Drosophila melanogaster: one gene and its partner. Changing the gene in region 2 together with the main gene of any one other region gives a genetic interaction. Each region holds a gene or a part of one and is shown on either strand. Other genes may lie near its edges. The genes, in order: trk and Fur1.

Region 1 (3,556 bases), on a different chromosome or scaffold from region 2:
TGAAACATCCGATTGCCGTTGTACGCGGCTTAGCGGGCGTCTTGAAGCTAGATCTCGGTCTCTTTTCGACCAAAACGTTGGTGGAAGCCAACCCGGACCATAGTGTTGAGGTTCGGACACAAGTGCACCAGTCTCCCGATGAAAATTGGGACACTTCGCAGGGTAAGCGCGTCTGGGCCTGCATTTCCCATCGGTCTCACACAACCATAGCCAAATATGCCCAATATCAGGCATCCAGTTTTCAAGACAGCTTGAAGGTAATGTTCGTTGGGTTGGTTCCTCTTTAACATGAATACAAGTTTACTTTATCGTGTAGCTTATTTTACCGCAGGATGAAAGCGATAAAGGTTTCCCCGGCTCGCAAGCAATGTCGGATTCAGACTCAAAGGACTCGGTATCCAATTCGAACATTGTTCTCAAACGTAAAAAACACAAAATAAACAGCAAAATGTTGAGGTAATAGAAACTCCAAACCATTTATGTCTGCATTACGAACTTTATGAACATAAATTAAATGCTTATTTCGCTTTTTTTTTTAGGTTCGGGACCAACGTGGACCTCTCCGATGAAAAGAAATGGAAACCACAATTAACAGAGCTACAAAAACTGCCAGCTTTTGCGCGAGTTATATCCGCTGCCAATATGCTATCACACGTGGGCCACGTCATTTTGGGCATGAACACCGTTCAGCTGTACATGAAGGTGCCCGGAAGTAGGACGCCTGGCCACCAAGAGAACAACAACTTCTGCTCAATCAACATCAACATCGGTCCTGGCGACTGTGAATGGTTTGCCGTCCCTGACGCCTACTGGGGCGGAGTTCACAATCTTTGCGAGAAGAACAACATTAGCTATCTGCACGGCTCGTGGTGGCCCGTCCTGGAGGATTTATACAAGGAGAATATACCAGTTTATAGATTTATACAAAAGCCCGGTGACTTGGTTTGGGTGAATGCCGGGTAAGCACTGAATATGAAAGGAAGGATGATGTATTAACAATCAAACCTACTTTCAGATGCGTCCATTGGGTTCAGTCGATCGGTTGGTGCAACAACATTGCGTGGAATGTTGGACCCTTGACTGCCCGTCAGTATTCTCTTGCCATCGAGCGATATGAGTGGAATAAAGTGCAGGCCTTCAAGAGCATTGTGCCGATGGTGCATTTAAGCTGGAATCTTGCAAGGAATATTAAAGTGTCTGATACCAAACTTTTCGAGCTGATAAAGTGAGTTAGCAAATGATAGGAATCACCATTATGCAGATACTATAGGGCATACATATGTAATTTGTAATTTTCAGAATGTGTTTGCTGCAAACGTTGAAAAACGTATTGCACATACAAGAGTATGTCAAATCGAAAGGTGTGGAAATACGTTTCAATGGACGCGGAAAGAACGAAGCATCCCATTACTGCGGACAATGCGAGGTATTTAGCGTAGTATTATTAACATATTTATACAGTTTCCAAAGGTGATATGAATGCAGTTTATTTAATCATTTGTGCACTCTTTGCAGGTTGAGGTTTTCAATGTGCTGTTCATCAAGGAGCAGGAGAAACGACATGTGGTCCACTGCCTATCGTGCGCGCTGAAGCTATCTCCGTCGCTCCAGGGAATCGTTTGCCTGGAGGAGTATCGTCTGTCTGAGCTGCAGCGCGTGTACGATTCGTTTACTTTACACAGAACCCAAGGACTAGCATACACTCAGTAGTTGTAATACGAGGAATCATTTTAAGTAATGCAGATTTAATATATGTATATTTTACAACGTACAATATACTCTCTATTGTTTTGATAAAACATAACGGTACGAATATATAGAGATGGGATTTTTCGAATAAAGCCATCAGAGCAGTTTTTTCGGCTATTATGTTTGATAGTCGAAAAAACTGGAGCCCACTTGAGTAGCGAAACTTACCTTATGATGACAATTTTATTATGACTTCAAATATTTAGACCCATCTTTTATAGTTTAATTTAAAAAAAAAAACTTTAAATTTATCCAAAGTTTAGAATGCGTTTTAATTATATATATGAATAAATTTAATTTATAATCTTTCGCAATGACACTGAAATTAAAATCCTTCTTTTTATTGAATTGGCTGTTATTACTTTAGTACCTAAATAAGTTACAGTGTAGAGAGCAACGATAACTGCTGTAAACACGATAAATCAATTGGTTGATATTGGTGTAGCCCTGTTTTTAGCCAGCCATGTTTCTGCGTATACTGTGTCCAACTATGAAATCCCAAAGTGAACTGGCCATTGTGCTCACTTGGTTGGCAGTGCTGGGGACGGCTCAAGATGATGCCGATTACTGCGCCGAGCTATCCACGCAGTCGCTGGCCAAAATTCTGGGACAGGCATTTAATCCGCGCTACATGAGCATCGATCCGCCGGGCGAGCCCGAGGAGAAGAGCTATCATCTGGGATACAAGCGATCGTCGTACGAGCTGCCCTTCTATGCGGACAGTGATGCGATTTCGGTTAGCCACTTTCCCGCCTGGGAGACCAACCACTTTGCGCTGGTAGAGAAGAAGAAGGAGGCACCGAGGAGCAAGAGTCTGCGCACGAGAAGCGCCTTCATGGATCGTGTGGGACATCCGAGAATCGATGGGTTCAAGCAGCGGCCGTGGGAGTGCTCGTCGAAGATCAACTGGATTGACTTAGGCTTAAATTACTTTCCACGCTATATCCGTTCGATCGAGTGTATTGCCAGAAAATGTTGGTATGATCACTTTAATTGCAAGCCAAAATCATTTACAATAAAAGTACTGCGCCGTAAAACTGGCTCATGCATTCGAATAAACGATAAATTGATTTTGATCACCGCAGAGAAGTTTGAGAATGATTATACGCAGCTCTGGATTTGGGAAGAAATAGCGGTTAACTTTTGCTGTGAATGTGTTATGCTATACTAGTAGCGCCATTTAATCAAGATTTAATTAATATACACGTTTAAAATGTCAACAAAAAACTTTAATAGCATTGGGAACAACAGATACCTTAATGGGTCTTGCATCGTACTCCTCGCCATCGATGGAGTAAAACTTCTCGCCCATTTCACCATCCGGATGCAGTTGAATAGTCCTGCTCTTAACCACCAAGCTGGGTAAAATTTTGCTGCACGTGACTTCCGGAATTTGTTTGATAAACTCCCAGCCCGGCTGCAGGGAGCTTATAAACTGACTTTCCAGCTCCGCAAAGTTATCCTTGTTCTGAACACAATTGATGTTAATCTGGCTGGCTTCAGCGCTTCCCTCGAACTTCTTGCTGCAATTGTCGTTCTTGACGAGCGGCCTCTTGGTTTCACCCGGATTATTCTTGTACTTAATGAGGCCTCTGGTGAAGAGGCCAGAAGGCTGGGCGGTCTCCTGGCGCTGCACAGTAGCAGCACAGTCAACGCAGCCAGGACACGGCGGTGTGTACACATAGTCGGTCTTAAGGCTCCAGTTATCGGCAAAGGACTTGGACGCAGCGGAAGCGTAGTGTCGCAGTGGTCCAAAGTACCAGTACTTATCCTTTGCCGCATCGATGTCCTCCAGCAGACCCCAGGA
Region 2 (5,300 bases):
TCGAGGACAACTCCTCAGCACTATTGATTTTCAGCAAAATGGAGCAGAGCTGAGCCACCAATGGTATGTAGGTGCCATTGAACACAAAACTGGGACAGGTCTGCAAGCCACTGGATTGGCTCTTGGAGGAGGAACCTCCATCCTGACCATCTCCACTGGAGGTCAACAGCTTTAGCCGATTAGCATTGGCCTGAAACTCCGTTTGCTGGAACTTGGGCAGAGGTAGATTTGAGAGCAGTTTCGTTGGCGCCTTTTTCTCCACCACAAGTGGTGGCAACAAGCCCGCCTGCGACAACTGCTGGAACACGCCCAATTCCTGGTGTCCAAACAGATTGCAGTAGTTCCGCGCAAATATCTGCAGCTCCTCGGGCGCCACGCCAACGCAATGATGCAAGAGGCACAGCAGTCGCAGTGTATTAAATCTCTGACCATCTGTGGTCAACAGCTCGTCGATCTCGCTTAGCAATCGCTTTCTTGAATCATTGTTTAGTATGTCCTCCTCCAGCGTTTGGAGCTTCCTGAAGTTACCCATCATTTGGATCACAATCTCGCTGGCATTCAGATGCCTAAGGACTTTGCTCTTAAGCTCGGTTAGTTTGGGTAGCTTCCTGGCCACATAGTCATGCATCTCGTCCAGCTGCATGTCATTGAGTTTCTGCAGTTCCAAGCCCAGGGCTTTTACTTGTGCGTGAATCAAACTGCTGACCTGAGCAAATCGTTTGTACCGATTATCGCCGTAGATCTCATCGGATGTGGAGTTAAGACGAATGGAACACGGCTTGCTGGCTGAGTTTACGCCTATCTTGGATTTCTTTCCCTGGAGTAACTCCACACGCTGGCTGCGGATCTTGTTCTTGGAATTGTCTACCAGAATCTCGCCAGAACTATGCTCGAAAACTTCCAAGAGAAGACCTGCATAGATGGCCGGAGTGAGCAAGCTGGCGGGGTAATCCTTATCCCGATCGATGACCAGCCAGCCGCCATAGTCTGGAGGATTTGTGGGCGCCGGAAGTTTGCCAAGAGTCTTCGCCATTTGCATTAGCTGCGACGAGTGGTGGCCAAAGCTCAGAATCAAAGACGGTTGTCCGCAAATCATCTGAAGCAATCGCAGGCTCTGGGCCACCGCAGGCAATGGAGATGTGTTCTTCTGCAGGTAGAGACACTCGTAAAGCTGAATAATAAGAATATCCAGTATAAAAGACTCTTTTCTGAATGTTCAATGTACATCTACTCACATTGGGCAGCTCCAAGCTGAGAACTCCCTGATCAAAATAGATGAAGTCCCAGTTAAAGTGATGAAGTTGCACCAGTCCGTACAAACCAGCCTGTTCCAGCAGGGTTTGAAAATAGGAGTAACAACTGGGCACACAGACTATGTGATACATTTTCATGGAGATGTCGGGCATTTCCTCTGAGGCCACGGGTTGCAATTGCTTGAGAAGTGTCTGAAATGTACCCAAAACACTGCGGATCATGTAGATGTGCACCTGATCGGCGGATCGGGGCAAAGATTGTGCCGCATCATGTTTGTAGATCCGTTGTATGCCCTTCAACCTGTTAAGGGGTATATATAAGACGTAAATATCCATAAAATATGGATTAAACACCTACTTCAGCCAGGAGGCAGTGACAACATGTTCCAGTGGCTTTATCAAGTCGGGCTCCAAAATTAACTCCTTCTTTCCAGGTATGCTACATAGTATGGAACAAAGCTGCAGTCGAATTGCAGGTAGTTAATAGTTTCACTCTTCCGATTCATTATTATACCTTTTCTTGTGCCACCAACTGGAATCCCTGCAGCTTTTTGTCCAGCGTCAAATCCATTCTTCGCCGCACAACACAAACAGCTGATGCAGCAAGGTAGCAAAATGTAAGGTGACGCACGCAAAATAAAATAGGGTTGTCACAAAGCAAATATATGCAGTTTTTATTACGTAAATGTTTATCGCAGTCAAAAAAGCAGTATTACTAGTTATTCTATACAATACATTAAACAAAAGCTATACTCAAATTAATTATTTTGAACTTATGCTACTACTGACGTCACAAAGTGTTGAGTCACCATTAAAAGCATTAATTGTGCACAGTCTTAATTCCTGCCGATCCAAAACTTATTTTCAAAGTTCGAGCTATCCGGTTTGTTAAACAAAAGTACTTAATCTACTGCTCAGTTTGATTGCATACCACTGTGCGAAGGCTGTTCGCTCACGAACTATCGAACCGGTTCGCCATGCGTTCCCATCTTTAGACGGGTATTTAAGCGCGATTCGCTGCAAAAGTGGCAGTTTCGTTCCAAATTCCGAAGCGAGAGTTTGTCGTGGGAAGTTGTTGCGCGCGCCCTGTTCGCATTTATGTGTTTTTATCGTGATTCCGTCAACCGAAATCATATGTTTTTAGCCAGGAGAGAGACGATTGCCAAAACAGCAGCAAAACGGGCGGAGTTCTGCGGTGGAAAATCGAAAATTAGCAAGCGCACGGAACACACTGTGATTGGAGCGAATTAAATGTGAATCAAAATATGGTTAGCCATTCGAAAAGCGTGTAATAAAATCGTGAAGAAAAACCAGAAAACAAATTTGTTATCGCTCTCTGTCTCTTTCTCTCTCCCATTCTCGCTGCGATTTGCTCTCCGTGTGTTTATGTCTCAGCTGTCCAAGTGTGTGTGCGGGTGTGTGTGACGTATGTGCGTGCAAGTGTTTGTGATTTTATGTTGTTGTCTTGCCTGCTTTCGCGTGAAATTCAACAACAACAACAACAGCAGCGGCAGCAACAACAAGCAAAGCAACAGCCAACAACAAATTTAAATTGAGATTTTCCATATTATCAAAAGTTACAGGCGCCTATTTTGCAGTTATCAGGTGAGCTTGCACTTACATTGTTTATAAATAATTTGGGTTTGGCGCATGTGGGTGAAACTGTGCAAAAATATGTGAAATATTTAATCTAATGACAAAAATAGCCGTGCGGTCTGGTTTGTTGTTGTTATTTTGGGCAATTGCAGCTTGTTGCATGTTCTCGTCTTCTCTTTTGTGCCGCAGATTCGTCTCTTTTTTACCGCTCTCTCCTTCTCACTCTGTCCTGCTTGCAGTTGTACATTGTTGCCTTTGTCAATCATTATCTTTGTGTTTTCGCTTCGTTCTGTTTTTGTTTTAGTGGCTAACATTATTTTCTTATAGTCCGTGTGTGTGTCTTCTTCGCGTTTTCTTTGCGGTTCAATTGTTGTTGCGATACCGGTTTGAGCAGCTGTCTCGCTCGGGCACGCTGCACAGGTTGCTGTTTAGATTACTTTTAATTTTTCTATTCTTTGCGCTCCCGTGCCTTCTAATCGCATCTTCTTCTTCGTGCTCATCTTTCTAATGCCCGTTTCTTATTGTTGTTGTTCTTGTTGCCCCTCCCAATTATGCTTTATTTGTTTGTATTTCCCTCTCTCCCATTAAAAATAAGTTTTTGCCATGGGTTTTATAATTTATTGGCCTTTCGATTTATTTAAAAGTTTAATTTTTGCCCAGACTGTTCAACTTTTGCTAATTGCCTACAAGTTTTAAAAGGTTTTTAAGTAGTTTAGCTTAGAACAGGTTTTGCAACAGTATGTTTTGTTAGGAGAGTCACGTTAGAATGTTTCAACTATATATGATTTTTTTTAATATTTATTGTTTTATAATTGAAAGCATAAATAATGTAAAATTTGCGTTCATATTATTTTTCTTTTTATAATTGTAGGTTTGCTCTCGAAAGTGCGAGAAATTTTAAACATGAATCATCATTTCAGAACTAAACAAATCTTAAGAGATTTGTTTGTATTGCATAAAATACAAACAATTTGATTTTCTTGTGCTGAAATTAGTATTACTGCTTAGTTTCACCATTATATACTAGATATAGAAAAAATCATTAGGATCCGCTTTAGGAATAAATCTAAAAGCAAGTTAATTATCTTTACTTGAAATGAATTTTTATTCCGACTAATGCGACATTTTATTATTACTCATAAGAGTGGTTAATCGTTAGTTGGATTAAAGAAGATGTGGATTCCCGTTAATGGGAAATTCCGCTGAGTTTATCGAGGCCATCGGCGTTTCTCAATTCGATTTCCAGTCCGAGATGCGCTCTTCACTCGCTTAATAAAAACAATAATAAGCTGAAAGCAAAGCAAATCGAAATAATTCATTTGCATTTACATAGGTAAATAAACAACACCATCACCCGAAGGTGATTCCAATCCCAATTCCAATCGCACCCCCATAAATTCTCTTGCCAAAGTTCGGCACTAATTAAAACCTGAAACAAATTACACATCTACGGGAGAAGAAAACGAAACAAGAACTCGTGCAAACAGCAATGATTTTGAAAAAGAAAGCAGAAAGCATTTTTGCAACGTGCGTTGCTATTCGTTACCCCCCACCCCCTCCAAAAAATTTACCCAATCCCCAAAAAGATTCTCGTTTTGGTTCGCTGTGTGGAGGAGGCGTGTGAATTTTCGTCGGTTTGATGTCTGTTTTTGCTCTGCTCATTTCCACGCTCACACATCAAACCCAATTAGTATTGTTCTTCTGTTGGCATATGGCAAATATTTCCATTTGTCTGTTTGTACACATATAAATTGCTTTGTATTAGCTTCGTTTCACTCTCTTTTTCGATCTCTGGTGTTTGGCGTAAGTCTGTTTAAAAATGTAATTATTCCCATACTTGGCGGGTTCTATTTTTGGGCAGCATTTTCGGTACATTTTGACACATGTGTGTGTTGGAAAAATGCGATTGAAGTTTATTCTTACGTTTTTTGAACATTTGCCAATACTGCGTCGCTTTTTAGCTGATTTGTGTGCTAGTTTGGTAACGAATTCATTTTACATGATTAGGTATTTTTAATTTGTATATTTCTTTTACAATATTTTTAGACCCAAAAAGTGAGTACATATATGCATGTACATTTAAAGAAAAGTGAGTGCTTTATTTTAGCACACTCATCAAAAAACCGCAAACAATCGCGGCAATTCGCACTCATGCGTTTCTTTACGTTAGGGTGACTCACTCGACTCACTCGAAGACAAGACAAGTAACAAAGAATTGTTCATTCTACGGCATTCTTCGCTCTTCGGCTTTCATCATTTCTTTGGGACGGACGCACTGAGCCATGTTTGTTTTTCTTGCGCCGAACCAGAATGGCGAAAGTGAACCCAACTCGAGTTGGGAGACACAATGGATATATGTTGGGGATGTAGAATCTGGGATGGATGACTTGCTCTGACGTACAGATAGTGTTTGTGTGTGTGGTTTGCCTGCCTTGAGCAAAGTATTTTGGC

What was found.
Region 1: of Fur1 (region 2) and trk, changing one enhances a phenotype caused by changing the other (phenotypic enhancement), as found in Drosophila melanogaster (one study listed by BioGRID).

The regions. Positions count from the first base shown.
Region 1 is NT_033779.5:10,270,866-10,274,421, reverse strand, and holds trk (trunk), read left to right. Parts: upstream 1-2,097; 5' UTR 2,098-2,212; coding exon 2,213-2,920; 3' UTR 2,921-2,965; downstream 2,966-3,556. Other genes in the region: Utx histone demethylase, read left to right, coding at 1-257, 317-456, 540-959, 1,016-1,225, 1,300-1,426, 1,516-1,710; Mulk (Multi-substrate lipid kinase), read right to left, coding at 2,966-3,556.
Region 2 is NT_033777.3:25,470,040-25,475,339, reverse strand, and holds the start of Fur1 (furin 1), read left to right. Parts: upstream 1-2,281; 5' UTR 2,282-2,858; intron 2,859-5,300. Other genes in the region: Vps33B (vacuolar protein sorting 33B), read right to left, coding at 1-1,171, 1,236-1,554, 1,612-1,712, 1,768-1,824. UniProt on the Drosophila melanogaster protein: Furin is likely to represent the ubiquitous endoprotease activity within constitutive secretory pathways and capable of cleavage at the RX(K/R)R consensus motif.